Lonchura striata: one gene and its partners. The protein of the gene in region 2 interacts with the protein of the main gene of each other region in a pairwise test. Links are inferred from orthologs where the notes say so. Each region holds a gene or a part of one and is shown on either strand. Other genes may lie near its edges. The genes, in order: CCDC146, NECAB2 and NEK6.

Evidence for each region.
Region 1: the proteins of NECAB2 (region 2) and CCDC146 interact in binary tests that used the Homo sapiens proteins (3 or more experiments, as listed by UniProt). The two-hybrid records come from large-scale screens. The link is inferred for Lonchura striata from reciprocal best matches to the Homo sapiens genes NECAB2 and CCDC146.
Region 3: the proteins of NECAB2 (region 2) and NEK6 interact in binary tests that used the Homo sapiens proteins (3 or more experiments, as listed by UniProt). The link is inferred for Lonchura striata from reciprocal best matches to the Homo sapiens genes NECAB2 and NEK6.

The regions. Positions count from the first base shown.
Region 1 is NC_134607.1:61,081,316-61,086,889, reverse strand, and holds the start of CCDC146 (coiled-coil domain-containing protein 146), read right to left. Parts: upstream 3,731-5,574; 5' UTR 3,604-3,730; intron 1-3,603. Other genes in the region: protein FAM185A, read left to right, coding at 4,111-4,477. UniProt on the Homo sapiens protein: Essential for sperm flagellum biogenesis and male fertility.
Region 2 is NC_134615.1:15,039,553-15,045,126, reverse strand, and holds the start of NECAB2 (N-terminal EF-hand calcium-binding protein 2), read right to left. Parts: upstream 3,828-5,574; 5' UTR 3,775-3,827; coding exon 3,577-3,774; intron 1-3,576. UniProt on the Homo sapiens protein: May act as a signaling scaffold protein that senses intracellular calcium.
Region 3 is NC_134624.1:10,404,934-10,410,507, forward strand, and holds the start of NEK6 (serine/threonine-protein kinase Nek6), read left to right. Parts: upstream 1-2,344; 5' UTR 2,345-2,438; intron 2,439-5,574. UniProt on the Homo sapiens protein: Protein kinase which plays an important role in mitotic cell cycle progression. Required for chromosome segregation at metaphase-anaphase transition, robust mitotic spindle formation and cytokinesis.

The DNA of each region.
Region 1 (5,574 bases), on a different chromosome or scaffold from region 2:
GACACTTAGCTGCATTGATTATTTTCATAGTGACAGGTGCAAAATATAAAATTTTATTCTGAGCATAAAGAGATGCAGGTCCATGTATGAAGACAAATCAACTATCTGCACACTTCCAGCCTGCAACTGGGTGCCTGGGGAGGGACAGAAGTACCCACCAGTCATGGTGTGGTGATGCATCTCCTTGAACTCACTCAAAACTTTCAGTATTGGTAAAATCCAGGGGAATAGAGATTTTCATTTTGCCTCAGCATGACATGAGTAACCAGCACTTCTTGTTGTTTTTGAATCTGGCTCCTTGATGTCACCTAGTTCTTTTACTGGATGAGTCACTGAATAATCACAACTTTTCAAGGCCACTAGGTTTGTTCCTAATGTTGAATCATCATTTGACAATTCTTTTTCTAGGCTGAAGCAGACAATCCACCTGCTGTCGCTGGCATGAAAGCCCTTCTCTGCCTTCCACTGTCCTCATCCTTCTCCAAAACCTTTTCAGTTTTACCATATCCTCTTCAAAGAGAAGGGATGAGACCTACAGATAGTAACAGGAGCACCACAGATTTATTCTATCACACAGTGATCCTCTTTCCTCCCCCTACATTTTTTAATGCTTTTTCCCTAATGTTAAAGTAGAAGACCTTCTGTTTTAAACAGGCAGAACCTGTGCTTCAGCATGAACAGATGTGTCTTTAAACAACAAAACCATGCCAACATTAAATGATGCTTGAATTTAAAACTACACCATGTACAATAGGACATTATCAAAGGCATGTGAATCAGAATGGATTGTTTGATTAGACTGCACAACCTCACTTTGGCAAAATGAGAGCACAACATAAACTGTTAACAATTTCTACCTAAACTGCTCAACAACTCCTGTCACAAGTTCTGCTGTTTTCCTTTGTTTTTAAATCTCTGCTATTTGGGATAGGACCACCCTAAGCCACACACAGACTTCATCTGCTGGAGTTCTAATTAGATATGGCTAAGATAAGGAGAATTCGAATGGTAAGATTTACTTCCATTTCACTTCCCATTTCACATGGTTTCCATGAGGAACTTACTTTCCTCAGAAAATTTCTGGTAGCGTGACAAACAAGAAAATCCCTGTAATCCAAACTATTGCATGCTGTGCAATGCTAAAGTACAGAGGAGGAAACAAACAAAACATAATTTGCCTAACTACTGAGCTCTAGACACACATTGAGAACTAAGAAGATTCAAGGAAGCATTTCAGAAATGCACCACTAAAAAAAAAAAAAACAAATACAAATAAAGGTGGCCCTATTTTCCTAAGTAAAGTCACATTATTTCTTCATTAAAATTAGAGCAAATGAGTAAAGTTAATCTTGTCCAGGCAGACTAAGGTTATACTCTGTGGGTACCTGCAGCAGTTTGTAGTTGTTCTGTGATAAATTCCAAATACAAAAGTTGGAAAAATGTATTCCTTCTACAGCCTCTCCTGTAAATACTTCTTATTTAATTCCTCTTTCCTTGAAATGTCTCCCTCACCTCAGCCTAAAAGTGCATCTGATAATGCTTTGGCTTAAAATCTACTTTGTATCACCTTAGAGAACTTCTATGAGTTCTAGAGTTTTTTGATCTTTTGCATAAAATACTGAATATTATTTGGCATACACCATCAATATCTGGCAAAATGGCAAATAAGGATTGTAATTCACTAAGAAATCATGCAGCTATCAAAAGAGTTCTAATTATATTTTCACTTATAAATTTAATGTAACTTTCTTTTCCTGCAAATGACAAGTCAAAAAATGAAAGACAAAAACAAATAAATAAATAAATATTCTTTCCCTAGTGTAGCATGCTACATGCTATACCTACCACTTGATCCAAACAAAAGCATGAAAGTTAAACAGAATTCATATAGCAAAAAATATAGATGACATAAGTAAAACATTAAACACATGAGATTTCATATGTATGGAGAAAGAACTTCTTCCCAGCAATTACTTTTTCTCTGTTTTGTTCAGTATTTTTAACCATGCATGCTTAGACTGTATCAAATGAGAAAACCCAACAGCAACAGTGAAATATAAACATAATTGAGGCTTAAACATCTTGGAACGGTTTCTTGAACTAACTTCTCAACCATGCAAAGCCTGACAATATTAAAGGTGATGCAGTTTACTGCTGATAAGCCTCTGCCTTTGTGAGGAGCAGCAAATACCAAGCTCCTGGAGGAGGAGGGGGCTGTGGGAAAGCAGCACTATCGTTCCAGAGGAGGTGGGAGTCAAGGATCAAGGGCAGCAGCACTGACCCAGAGGGAAAGGGAGGCAGCAGTGAGCCCCGCGGAGTCACCCAGGAGCGGACCACAGAGTTATTTGCTGAACTGGCTGTCATCTAGTGGAGTCATAGCACATTGCAACACACTTCTTACATATCTTTAACTTTCCCCCTGACAAACAATCTGACATCCAAATTTGGTATTGGTCTCAAGGGTGAGAATTTTGTAGCTTTTTTTTTCCCCAAAATCGACTATTTCTGAAGACTTGGGAAAAAAAAAACAAACTTCTAGCCTCTGTCACGTCCCAAGATATTTCTTGACACTTTTTTAGCTTTCTAGAATTCAATTTTTGTGTAGTAGACTATCATAAAACAGGCTAGCCCTTTGTGTGTTTAGCCTAAGGGTGTTTTGAGACTGAGTAATGTAAACCAATGCAATAATTTACCTTGATGGGCTTTATTGGTGAATATGAACCTTCATTAAACTTTCCACAGTGAAAATTACTGATAGACTGAAAAAACAGAGCAATCTTCCTTCTTGTTGGACACTGAGATGTCATTTAATATTCATAAATAATCAAAGCCAGACAATCACAGAAATGGAAATAGGGCTAATGAGATGAAAAGTATTTGATGACTAAGTATCATGCCTTCATGGTTATTTATGAAAAAGAAACACATGGAGTGCAAAAGGGAGACAGAAATTAAGTAACAGGCCCAGATTTCATTATTTCTTGTTTTGCAATCTTGCTAAGACAATGCAGCTTTCTGTGCATTTTTCCCTCTCATTATTGGCAGTAAACAACAACTATTACAAGAATTAAGCCAGATTGTACCTCATCTATTGCCCACATGCCCCACCTAATTTTTAAAAATTGTTATACGATGATAACGTGGGGTATGAAGTCCAGAAGAGTCTTTTAAACTTTTAATTAAGTGCTTCCCTACTTGTTCATAAACCCTGTAACGACAATTGTCTCATGGTGTATTTGCACAGAACTCAGGAAAATATTTGCTTGTCTTCAGAACCGCTAAAAAGCAGTACAACACCTAACACATTGACCAAAATTTAGTGACAGAGAGCAATTACGGTGCTTTGTGATACCACTTCAAAAAACCAACCAACAGAGCCAACAGATGTGTTAGTTTTCCAACACATCTGCCCAACTGCTTCTACCCCGGCTGACCGAGGACATTTCAGCAGCCGCGGGCTCGCTGTAGGCTGCGGCGCCCCGAAGGCCCGGCCGCTCGGGGCGCCTCACGCGCGACACGGCCCCGCCCGGGCCCCGCCCAGGGACCGCACTCCGGACCCTCAGGGCCTCCTCAAACACGGCTGTGGCGGCGCCCTCGACTTACTTCCCGCCTAGACGTCGGAGCCGCGACTTTGCTTTGCTTTGCTTTGCCTCACCCGGCCCCGGCCCGGTCCCGGTCGCGGTCCCGGTCCCCTCGACTCCCCCCGGCCGCCGCAGCGCCCGGCCCGGCCCGGCCGAGCGGCGTCCCCGTCGCTATGGCGACCCGCGCGCGGCCTCCCGCCCGCCTCACCGCCCCCGCTCCCGATTGGCTCCGTGTCCAGCCCCGCCGCCCAATAGCAGCAGACTCTCTGCAATGCCCCGCCCTCCCCGCTCTCCGATAGGCCCGCGGGCACGGCTGTAGTTCCTTCCGCGCGCTGTAGAACTACGGCTCCCAGGAGGCTCCGCGGCGGAGCCACAGCCTGTTTACCGGCCGTGCCGGTGCCGCTCCCCGCGGGCAGCCCCGCCACGTGACCGGCCGGGGGTCACGGCCGCCCGCCGGGAGCGGCCTCGTCCCGTCCCGTCCCGGGCTCTCCTGACGCGGCTCCCGGGCGCTCTCGCCCTGCCGGCGGCAATGAGGGCGCTGCCCCCGCGCTGGGCGGCCCTGGCCGTGCGAGCGGCGGGCGGGCAGTGGGCGCCGCCCGTCCCCCGGCGCGGTCGCAGCGGCCCCGGTCCGCCCCCGCCGCGGGAGTGGGCACTGTCGGTGAGCCCGCGGGGGCGGCTGCGGGTGCGGCTGCCGTGCCAGGTGAGCGTCCGCCCGCTGGACCCGCAGCGCTGCCCGGGCGCGGACCGGGTGCTGGTGGCCGTGAGCGGCGGCAGCCCCGGGCGGGAGCGGGACCCGGTGCGGGTGGAGCACGACGAGGCGCTGGGGCAGGTGGCGATCGTGGCGGACGGCGTGGACAGCAAGGCCGCCGTGGACGTCCGGACGCCGGTGAAGTTCGGTGGGTGCGGGGGAGGCGCACGGATCGCGGGGACCCCACCGGGGCTGGGCTGGGCTGGGCAGGCGCTTCGGCTGACGGCGCTGTGGGGAGCGGCAGAGCGCCCTCGCTAATTCAGACGCCCCGTTCTGAAGCTGTTTGCCGTGTGCCTGCGCTTCCTGCGTTTTGGGCACGCGATTTGTTGCTGGCCCTTTTGCCGCCGGTGGTTCGCGCTGAACTGGAGCTGGTGAGCGGCGCTCGGAGCGTGCGCTGCCGCCGGTGCTCCGCCGCTGCTCCCCGGCCCGGGCTCCGGAGCGCATCCCCGGCGGACCGGGCGCGCCTGCTCCCAGCGCCGGTCCCGCGGCGCCGCGGCAGCCTCCCGCTCCCTCCCAGCCGTGCTCGCTGGCTGGCTGCCGGTCAAAAAAGCCTGCAAGGTAACGGTGCAGATTAAATACCCAGAAGGGCTCCCTTGCTCAGTTCAGTCGTTGCATTATCTTTTGGGCACAGGGTTATTATCTGTGCAGGGTTTCTTCTATGCAACACAATTTGTGAGAGTAGCTAAACCAATAAACATCTCTACTAATCTGACAGTGAAGTTCTGACAGTGGCCCTGAGTTTAGGGAGTACAAACTTGGAGATTTGTGTTCAGTCATTAATGTGGTTTTGGTTTATTTTCCTATGGATTTGGGCAATTTCCTATACAGTGCAGAATGTTTCATCATGCTGGAAAAACTTTTTGATGCACAATGCACATGGTGTGTTGTTTTCTTAAAGTTATTAAAGACGGCTGCTTTATTTCTTTTAATGCCCTGCTGCTGTTGTGATACGAGAAACTATGAATAATCCCACCCTACTTACTCTTCATATATTTAATTTATAACTTTTGCCAAATATGATGTTACATACAGCAAAGATATTCTGCACCTTTTATCTTACCTTTCTTTTTTTCCCACCCTGTGTCTTAGGGAAAATTCTACAATGTTTTTTTTTTTTTTTCCTGTTTTCTGAACTGTATATAATTCAAAATGGAGAAGTCCTATGGGTTTGGCATAACATCATTCTCACATTTTCCAGTCTTACTCATCCCTATAATTTAATTTTTTTAAACACTCCTTATAACT
Region 2 (5,574 bases):
AATGAATGGAACTGTGTTTTTCAGGAGTATTTAAAATAAAGCCAAAAATCAGTGCATTTAGTTCCCATTGGCAAGAAAGGAGGCAGGGAGGCCAGTGCTGCTTGGGGCTCACAGTCCTGCCATGGGGATGCTCATTCATAACCGAGGCTGATCCTTATTTTAGATGCCAAGCAGGAGATGAGCCATGAACTAGATGGAGCATCTTCCCCTGTAGCTGCTGTGACTGACCAGGCCTCAGGTGCTCTGGAGTTGACACCTCTGCTGTCAATACAGGCTTTTGGCAGTCACAGGAAGGCAGGAGGGGGTGAGCAAGGACAGTAGATCAGCCAGCTCTGAAGTGCTCCCAGACAGAGCAACACTTGCCTAGACATTTCCTACACCTCGAGGGCCATCCACCTCAGCTCTGTGTGCACATGCACTCATTCACATAGCAAATACAATCTCACATTGGCTTACCCACAGAGAATATACACCCATATAATATATCCTCCTTTTCATAAGCATTGCGACATGGAGGATTTGTTCTTGACTGGAAATGTGACCATCTCCTCTTGTGGATTGGAGCAGCTCTGTGACAGGTTTTAACACAGGGGGTTTGTCCTTGTGGGTGCAGGAAGAATTGGATATCCTGTGTCCATCCAAAGCTTGTGGTGTGAGTGGGAATACCTGCTGCAGGTGGCACATGCTGCCAGCCCTGAGCCTTGGGCTCTTGCAGCTGGAGCAGACCCAGAGAAGGCACCTGAGGGTGGGCACAGGATGGGTACAGACCCCTTGTTCAATCTCAGTGTTTTTAATCCTTTACCTAAAAGGCCAGCAGCAAAGTAAGAGAAAAGCACTGAAGCCAGCCCAAAGTTAAGATTGATCCTCTAAGTAGGAGGTTGATGGCAGAAGATATCTTAGCTCCTTGTTGTGTTTTGTTCCTCTTCAGCCCTCAGTTTTGTCCCACAACAGCACAGTTGTGTTTATTTGGTGGAAAGAGCACAGGGAAGTTTGTTCTGACACACCAGACACCCTCATGGAGGAGTCGGAACAAGAACACTGGGGATGGATGAATTAAAAGAAAGCCAGAAGAGGAAGAAGTGACTAAGGTACTATTAGCGTCAAAGCCATTTTCTCTCATAACCAAGCCCAAGCTTTCCCCTCCTCCACCAGCTCCCAAGAAACTGCCTACACAGCACACCAGCTCATGGAAACGTGTTAGCTAACAAAATTGTACAGGTCTTTTACTTCATCCTCCCCCATGGAGAACCACACTGCTGCATGGCTGGGACTCACTGCTTCCCCAGCACATCCATCAGCAAAAATGTGAAGGAGTTAAATGGAAAACAGGTTATCATCGCTGAGCATCCAGTGGGATGCTTGTTACTTTCATGCTAATGTGTGAAAATTAAGCTAAATAGGTGTTCCCTGTTTAAACCCTTTGTGTGAAAGGGGGGTCTCGCAGTGCACTTGAAGAGCCCATTACAGCGAAGCCACAGCTTCAATTTGCTTTGCTATTGTGCCTGGAGAAAAAGGAGAAAATCAAGTTCTAAGGAAAGAGGGAAAAAAACCCCTAAGCTCTCAAATCTTACATTTCCAGAATCCATTTCTACTTTCAGCAGGTGAGAAAGGGCTCCCAGTACCATTGTGAAAAGGAAGAATGATTAGGAGCTGCACACCCAGCTCTATTGTACTTCCCACTGAAAGAATACAATGCTCTACTGTATTTCCCATTCTGAAGGTTCATGGCTCTTTTCCTAAGCTCAAACCTCAAAGTGAAATTACTTAAATAGAGTAAAATTGAATGCATAAGATACCATTTTGGTGGCAGAACACTCCTAACTCAAGAAACCTCTTACATAAATTTTATGCTGTTTCCTAATTGCATTTGTGCTCTGAAACTCAGATTCCAAATTATTGCAAAATTTTGGCAATCTCAGGGCAGACAAAAAAACAAAACAAGCCAAAACCAAAGCAAACCAAAATAATTAAAAAAAAATAGAAAAAGAACCCCAGGAACTCTCCCCTGAACAAGTTAACTGAAAAGACATAGGGGTGTGTGTTGCACTTGTCCTTTGTTTCCCTGGCAGCTCACTCCCCCAGACTGCAGCTGCCCACCTGCCAGCCCCTTCTACGGGCAGGATCATCCATCCATCCATCCTGCTCTCTGAGCTGCTTTTGGCAACCCTCTAGAGACAGTGCTTCCTCAAGGAACCAAAATGCCATTCATCTCAGGGTGCTCACAGATGGAACTAGTTTCAGACTCTCCAGCCCACGCCAATGCCTACGGGTTCAGCAAGTTATTTACAAAATGTAAGGGCTTCCCTTGAAGAGCTACTACTGCCTAGCCTACCTCTAAGAAGAGCATGAGTTATCCTTTACTACAGCCAATGCTTCAGTAGTTTATTTTGCATTCATTACTTCCTTTTTATTTTTTTTTTTTTTTTAAGCTAAGAGATAGCAAAACAGAGGATCCAGATCCATGTGTTTAATTACTGGATGCTGCCAAAAGACTGTAATTATACCATTTGCACTCTGGCTGATTCCACCCCATTCTCCCAATTCATTTAAGTGCAAGCAGCCTCGGTAGCTCCCTAATCAGAAGGTCTATAAATACAGCAATCGAGGCACTGAGCACATCCCTACCAGCCCCCCAAACCAGGATTAAAGACCTGCAGTACATCCTCATCCCAGCTGGTAGAGGGGATGCAGGACCTGGGAAAAGGCTGCAGAACCTGCAGCGGACCCCCATGCTTAGCCCGTCCAGAGGGTGCAGGAAATGGGGCACCCCAGGGCACCAGCCCGAGAGTTCAGAGTCCTGGCGAGGAGAAGGATACAAGCTACATCTCTATGCCCCATCCGGTAAAAAAAAGGCTCAGGGCTCAGGAGAGGAAGTGCAGCATCCAGACTGCCCCCCATGCCCGGCCCGGTCCGGTCCAGATGATGCAGAACCAAGGTGCACCTTTTTCCCAGCTGTCCCAGAGAGTGCAGAGCAGGGGGACGGGGACCTAGGCCACCCCGACAAACTAGGATGTGCAGCACCGGGACAAGTGGGGCAAGACCCGGGCTGCAACCCCATACCCTCGGCAGCCCAGGGACACAGGATCTGGAAAGAAGTTGTTAATCTGGGCACTCTTACACCCAGCCAGCCCGGGAGATGCAGGACCTGGGCTGCATCCCGTGCCCAGCCGGCCCGGGGAGATGCAGGACCTGGGCTGCATCCCGTGCCCAGCCGGCCCGGGAGATGCAGGACCTGGGCTGCATCCCGTGCCCAGCCGGCTGGGGATGCAGGAGCCCAGGAACAGCCCCGATGCCGAGCCGCTCGCGGGTGCAGGATGCAGGGAGGCTGAGAACCGGGCTGCAGCCGCTCGCTCGGCTGCTCCAGCAGATGCTGGACCCGGGAAATAAAGGCGATCCCGAGGGGCTCCAGCGGGTGCGGGACACGGGCAAGAGGCTGCGGGACACCCACGCCCACCCGGCTGGGGATCGCAGGACCCGGGCTCAGCCCGTGCCCGGCGGGTCCAGGGAGTGCCGGGAGCTGAGGAAATCCCCGCTCCCGAGGCAGGAGCCGGGATGCGGGATGCAGGGAGCACTCACATCGAGGATGACGGAGGTGCCCTTCCTCTGGGCGGCGGCGGCGCCCGGGGCGAGCAGCTCCCTCTCGGCGAGGCCCTTGTCGCCCATCCTGCCGGCCGCCCAGCGCAGGAGCCCGTCCAGCCCGCGCAGCGCCGGCGCCGGCTTCCGCAGCAGCTTCTGCACCCCGGCCCGGCAGTACCGCGCTGCCTGCTCGCACATCGCTCAGCCCGGCCTCATCCCGCCGCCGGGACTCCCTCCTCCTCCTCCTCCTCCTCCTCCTCCTCCTCCTCCTCCTCCCACACCGCCCGGCGGGCAGCGGGCGGGTCCGCGGGGGAGTTTTGGGATGGGGGTGGGTCAGCCCCCCTCGGCTCCAACACAAAGCACCTTTTTAGGTGTTTTATGTCTAAAAAGACTAAAACCGTGTTCTCTCGCCTCCACAGCCTCTCTACACTCACAGCAGATTTAGCAGCTCTTTGTGAGGGCAGAAGAGAATAAATTTGTTGGTAGTAAATAAAACTTGTCCCTGAATCCCTATCCCTCCTCCAAAAAGTCCCTATTCAATGAATAGTCAGCAATTCCAGGTGTGGTATTGCAGCATCTGTGGCTACAGCACTAAGCACAGTGCTCGGATGGAAAATATCCCTGACTCTGTAATTCTGTATTATGAGGACATTTCTTTGAGATACTCCTGTGCTCAGTTTCAGCTTCGAAATCAGCGAGATTTAGACCTGCAGTAGAGGCAATAAGTCTTCTGGACAAAATGGCACAAGATAATTTCATTTTCCTCTCCACACCTGAGGAGGTGCTCCCAATTTGAGTTCAAAGAAAGACACCAAAGCAGCAGAGCTCAGACTCAGAAACTTGGAGGTTTCCCTGGAGTTCTGGAGTAGCCATAGGCTCCAAAGAACCTTTCCCACATGCAGCAGCCAGACCCCCTCAGAGGCAGCTCTAGAGGACTTCATGATCTACCAGGGCCATATCCCAGATTTGAACACCTCTGTCACAGGAGCCAGCACCCCTGCAAACACTGCATACTTCCCACAGGGAGTCCTTACCTGGCCAGCAGCAGGATTGCTCCAAAGGGCCTGACCAGCCACTGCTTTCCGTGAAATAAATAGTAGTCAATTGTTTCTCTCAACAGAGCTTATACATTGCAGCTCACCAGAACCCAGACCCTCAGAAAAGCCTACCTGGAGGAATTATTTAGCAGCTTCTTCTAATAACCCTTCTTTATTCAGGTAAATTGGGGTGAATTTTCTGTGTTTGAGGTGACAGGTGGGGAATGTGCATTTTCCTCTCAGCTGCTGCTCAAAGAAAAGCGAGTGGGAGCCCAGCTCTTTCTGCTGAAGTACATGGAAAATAGCTGGAAGCTCTTAGAAGCCTCTTAAACAAATGAGGCACAGAGAAGCCTAGCAGTAGGTTAGGACACCCAAGGGCTGAGCCCCTCTTTCACCAAACTCTTGCCTTTCAAGCTTTCCTTCTCCAGCAATACAAAACTCATGGGGGAAATCTGAGGAATTTCAGGGGTTTATGATGGCTTGTGGAGCACTTCAATGGCTCTGTGCTCTTTCACAGGGATGCTCAGAGCACTGTCCAACCCAACCATCACTCATTTCCCAATCACATCTCACAGCAAAGCACAGCCAAGCCAAGACACATCTTGCCCTCCTTGCCATGAGCTGGTGCCAATCTCCTGTGCCTCTCACGGTCAGAGCTAGTCTGCTCTTTTGTACTTGTACAATTACTCAGATTATTCACCTTCTTCTTTCTCCTTTAGACATTCCTCCACTAAATGGCTGGTTCAGACTGTATTGATCACACCCAGGTTAGGATTACTATAAATGCTTGCTAATTAAAACTACTGAGTGAATAAATATAGAAATAAGGTTCTTTGAAATTTCCTTTCTATTTGCCATGAAGATTCATTACTTGGATTTGAAGTTTGGGGCTATTTCTGTGCTTTTGTCAAAAACAGTTCTTGGTAATGTCAAAACCAGCTCTGTGGCATTTAAATACTCA
Region 3 (5,574 bases), on a different chromosome or scaffold from region 2:
TGTCTATTGCTCTGTCTCTGGTGAGAAGCACTGCAGAGCTGTGCAGGCATCTGCACCCCGGAGAGAAACTCTGTGCCATCAGAAATGCTCCAGGAGGGAGAATCGGCTTTCACTGTCTCTTAAATGTATCAGAAACTCAAGCCCCTGGATCTTGTTTATACTCACCCAAAGTGAACACAGTGAATTTGTATTAGCTAGGTGTAAACAGCTTTATAACAAAGCCAAAGCTGAGCAACGTTTCCAGAAGAAACAGTTAAAATCTTCCCAAAGAACCACAGTTTCTGCTCTCTCTGGGTGCTGGAGGTGGCACTGCTTTAGCAAGAAGGTTTTCTTAAAAGTATGAGTTTCTATGGATAAAAGCCATGTGAGCAAAGATCTGCCATCATGTTTCTGCTTCTGTAAAACACAGGATTATTTTGAAGTATGTAAGTGGAGTCTGCTGGAAAAAGAGACTTATTCGAACCAAAATGTTTTGGGCAGCAGGTTCCCCACAGCTCTGGTGTAGGTGTAGGTGATGCAATCAGTCGAGAGAGAGGGGACAGAGCAGCAACACGCCAGGAGGGCTGCAGGCATTTCCTTGGAAGCCGCGTGTTCGGGAACATGGGGCAGAGAATGCAAGAATGCAGAGTGGGGCCTTTCCCGCTGCTCCGGGGAACGTGCACAGCAAATCCCCGGTGCTGCGGGGCAGGGCGGCACCGTGTGCCACCGCCTGCTGCAGGCAGCTGCAGCACACCTGCGGGGACTGGGGGACAGCGAGGCCAGGGCATGGGGCACCATGGGACACCATGGGACTCCATGGGACACCATGGGACACCATGGGGCACCATGGGGCACCATGGGACTCCATGGGACACCATGGACTCCATGGGGCACCATGGGACTCCATGGGACACCATGGGGCACCATGGGACTCCATGGGACACCATGGGACTCCATGGACTCCATGGGACACCATGGGACACCATGGGACACCATGGGACTCCATGGGACACCATGGGACTCCATGGGACACCATGGGACACCATGGGACTCCATGGGACACCATGGGGCACCATGGGACACCATGGGACACCATGGGGCACCATGGGACTCCATGGGACACCATGGGGCACCATGGGGCACCATGGGACTCCATGGGGCACCGGGGTGAAACCAGTCCTGTCCCGCAGGACAGGGCCCCGTGAGCACGGCCCCACGGCGGGTGCCCGGCCTTAGCCTGGGTGCACTGGGCTGCCCTTCCCCTTCCTGCTGGGACTGGCTCCTTGCTCACTGCTAGGGCACTTCAGCTCGTCTGCCCTATAGGAGTGATTAAAAAGAAGAAAAAACACTTTAAAGTAGGATTTTTACTAGCAAAGGGCTGTGTGGAAATGGTTTCAGCGGCAAAGGTGCTTTTGCTGGCACAGCGTGTTTCATTTGTGAGCTGCTCTGGGGCTCGCTGGTGTTAGCACTGTGCTGTGCCAGCACTGGGAGTTTCCAGTCGTACCAGCAAACATCTCCACGAAAGTCTGACAAAACTGACAACAGTTGACAAAATAGGAGCAATTGCCTTGGTCCCAGGCCCTGCCGCCGCACAGGGGCCATTGCTGAGACCCGCTCGTTTGGTTTGTGTTTATTGCCAAGGTCGTGTTCACTTGTGAAAAAAAAACATGTTGAATTTCAAGTTCAATTCAATTTATGCCGACTACTCATACATGACTTGAGCTGCAGATTGAGGATTTTCTATCCCAAAAGCTGGATAGATTTTGGAGCCAGACCCGTTCAGGCCGGTTGGTGCAGGAACTCGGCTGCGCCGCTCTTGAGGCTCGAGGCTGCGAAACGCCTGGGCCGGACCCGCGATGGGGTCCCGCTCCGAGCCGAGCGGTGCCGGCCGCCCTCCCGCAGCCCCGGCGGGAGGGGATCCCGGGCCCGGGGAGCCGGGGCGGGGAGAGTCGCGAGCGCCCCGTCCCGGGGGGCAGCGCCGCGGTGGCGGTGGCGGTGCCGGTGGCGGTGCCGGTGCCGGTGCCGGAGCCGGTGGCGGTGGCGGAGCCGGTGCCGGTGGCGGTGCCGGAGCCGGTGGCGGAGCCGGTGGCGGTGCCGGTGCCGGAGCCGGTGGCGGTGCCGGTGCCGGTGGCGGTGCCGGTGGAGCTGGAGCCGGTGCCGGTGGCGGTGGCGGTGCCGGTGCCGGTGCCGGTGGCGGTGCCGGTGCCGGAGCCCCGCGGCCGCTCCAGGTGCGGGTCGCAGGTGGCGCCGAGCGCGCACGCGCCGCCCCCGCGCGCGGCCCCCGCCCGGCCTGCGTGGCAGCGGCGGCGCGCGCGCCCGAGCGGCGGCGGCGCGTGCGCGGGAGCGCGGGGCGGGCGCGCGCGCGGCCAAGTTCCGTGCGGGACGCGGCGCCGCTCGCTCGGTCCTGCGGGGCTCCCGCGCCCCCGCGCCGGCACCGCCGCGCCTCCGCCGCGCCGCAGGTGAGCACACGGGGCCCCGCGCTCCGCCGGGCCGGGCCGGGGCTGTGCCCGCCCGCCGCGGGCCCCGGCTGGGCCGCGGGACCGAGCGAGGGGCGGCGGGGGGATCGAGCGGGCGCGCCGGCGGGGCCGGCGGGGGCCGTGAGGGAGCGGGGGCCCCGGGCGGCGGGGCTCGGGCGGGAGCGGGGAGCGGCCGGGAGCGGCGCCGGGCGGGTCAGCCCCGCTGCCGCCGGGCGGGCCGAGCGGCGGCCTTGCGACTTGAGCGAAGTTGGGACCGTGGTGCAAACACGAGCGTTTGCGCGCTCTGGTGTCGCTCGGAGGTCTGGGGAGGCTTGGGGGGTTTTTCCGTTCCAGCAGCTGTGCTCCGAGCTCACGCTCCCCGGAGGAGCCGTTCCCGGCCCCGCGCCCCCCCGAGCCCGGGATGTGCTCGTTCGTCTCCTCGCTGGGGCTCCCGGGCTTGGCGCAGAGAGCCCCGGGGTGTGCGGGAGGCCCCGAGACCCTGCCCGGCTGCCTCACGCTGGGGTCTCCTGACTCCGATCGTGGCGAGCCCCCGGTCCCGCTGCCTCTCCAGGGCGCGCTCTGCCGCGCTCTCTCCAAAGGAGGGAACCCCGCGGGAGCCCCCGTGCCGGAGGATTGCACATGGCTTTGGAGAGAGCACATGGTAGAGCTGCACTATCAAATACCATCTTTTCCCTCCAAAGTGTGATTTATGCTTGGTTAGAATAACGGTGACTTTCTGAGCCCATCTGTTTGTCTGCCTGTTCGCACACATGGAATAACTCTGCCCATGGTGATTGCCTATGGCATTATTGCAGAAGAAGTAGTTTGATAGGAAATATTGTAGCAATTAGAAGTCCAGTGATGCAAGTTCCTGACACGTTGTGACTGTCTTGCTGTCAGTTCTGTGTCTCCTTTAAAAGTTCATTTTCTATGAATCACTGTAAGCAACCATTTAACTTCTGCAGCATTTCTACAGCTTTTACATTTGAGACATCTCTTGACATTGAGTCAAACTCTTTCCACTGTTTTTTTTTTTCCTGTAGACATTCTTTGTGACAGTCATATTCTGTTAAGCAACAACAGAAAAAAAGAAGGAACTGCTTTTAGATAAGACTGTTGCTGCCTGTTTCCTCTGGCTCTGTCTCGTAGAGATCTAAAAAAATGGGAGCTGTGAGAAACTTTTATTATGGTGGAAAAAGAGCGTCTTCTGTGGGAAGTGAGATTCTGGATGGAGTGTGAGTGACTGCTGTCACCCCAAAGGAGTTGTCAGAGTGGAACCAAACTTTTGCTTTCTTAACACCTGTGATATATAAACTGCTTCTGCTTGATTAATTTCCCCCTCCTTCCTCTGGAATTCTGTCTCTTGACAAATAGGTATTTTGTGAGAGAGGATGGATGCATAATTGGAATGTTTTTAGATACCTTTTCAAATTCTTCACTGTTCATTTTGTTGGGAGAAAACCAGATGAAGATGAATAACTTGAACCCCAAACCTGTATTGGGAAACAGGTTTTTTTGCAGTACTTGCCCTCTATGATCCTGCCTGAAAAGTTTTATGTCAGTCTATAACACTGAATTATACATTGAAAATACTGAGCCTACACTGGCTTTTTCTCTTTTCTTGCGATTATTGAGGCTGTACTGGAGAAAATAGAGATTCTGAGGCTTCTCATGCAGCGTGTTTTTGGGCTTTATTCACACCTACCTGTTGGTCTGAAAGGTTCTTGCAATGGCTTGAAAGGTTTTTGTGTATTGAAGGAGCTGTTGTTTACCTGGAGTAAAATGAGTATTTTTGTTTGAAGGGGGGTAGGAGCCAGAAATGCCCATGTGGGTTTTTCTCCTGCTCTGCCTCTGCTCTCTTAGCTGTAAAATGGGGGTGGTTACCAACAAGTTCCCTTCCTGAGCACCTGCAGCTTTCTAGATGTGTAAAGGATTAATTAGTGGATATATTTTAGCATCTTTTCTTCCTTTATGTGGTGCAAAATATATTTGACCTCAAGGCTGTGAAAAATGTATAACAACAATCAGCCTGGCAGAACAGACCAACCCCTGTGGCTGCAGCAGCCAACAGCTGGGGCAGGTGGGAGAAATCAAATGTATTCAGTCTGAATTTAAAGCAAGAAAAAAAGGAACTGTGGCTGGAGGAGCAGAGGAAGTACTTGCAGGAAGATTTCAAAAACAAAATGACAGAAGTGGAAATCTGGGCCTTGTAGGACATTTGCTTTGTCCTAAATGAAAGCTTAGATGGGTCCTTAGGGAAAATGAATTTAATAGCCCAACTTGGGCTTTAGTTTTTGTCATTCTGACTTGCTTTCCTTAGAGGTTCTTGTTGCAAAGGAGGTTGCTTATGGTAATCTTCAGCAATGAGAACAGTAAGTACGTGGAACCTCATTTTAGAAGCTGGGCTCACCTTCACCACTGAGCAAACCTGTTTCTAATTGCAACTTCCACAGTTTTACTGCAGCTCAGCACTTGTATAGAGAGAGTGGTCTTGATGCTTTGTATGGTCTGAGCACAGAATTAAGGTTCGGGAAGTCATGAATGGCCATTCTGCCCATGACACACACTCCTGCATTTGTCTTGGAAACTCACTGAACCAGTCTGTTTTACCTTTTATGGCAGGTGGTGACTAACCCAATGTACACCTCCCCAGGTGTTTTCTGGGGTGTTTGTAGGAAATTATGTGTTATGTGTCGTTGTAGCCAGTATAAATACAAGATGCAGGAAAAAGTCTTGTAATATTGAAGGCAAAACCTAAATAGTCATGCAGCTGAAATATAGTTTATGATGGCCTTGATACCACTTGTCACTGAAGATGCTGAAAATGTAGCAAGAGGATGGTGACCTGCTCTGCTCCTGGTTGTGAGACAGGCACGGTAGCAGAGGAGGCTCCGTGCCTGTGCCACAGTCCATGGACTGGACAGAGTGGCCTTTCCCAGTACAAAATCACATGGAAGTTAAAGGTTGTCTAAAATGGGCAAAGTGAACACTGTCCTGTTGAAGGCAGAGGCCTTGAAAATAGTTTTTTCTGTTACCAAATGCTGTTAAGCTGTGTTTATTGTACTCACCCTTTGTAAAGCTTTCAGTGCAAGCCCATGCCAGTACTCAGCAAGGGCCCTGCTGCTTTCCCTGGCAGGTC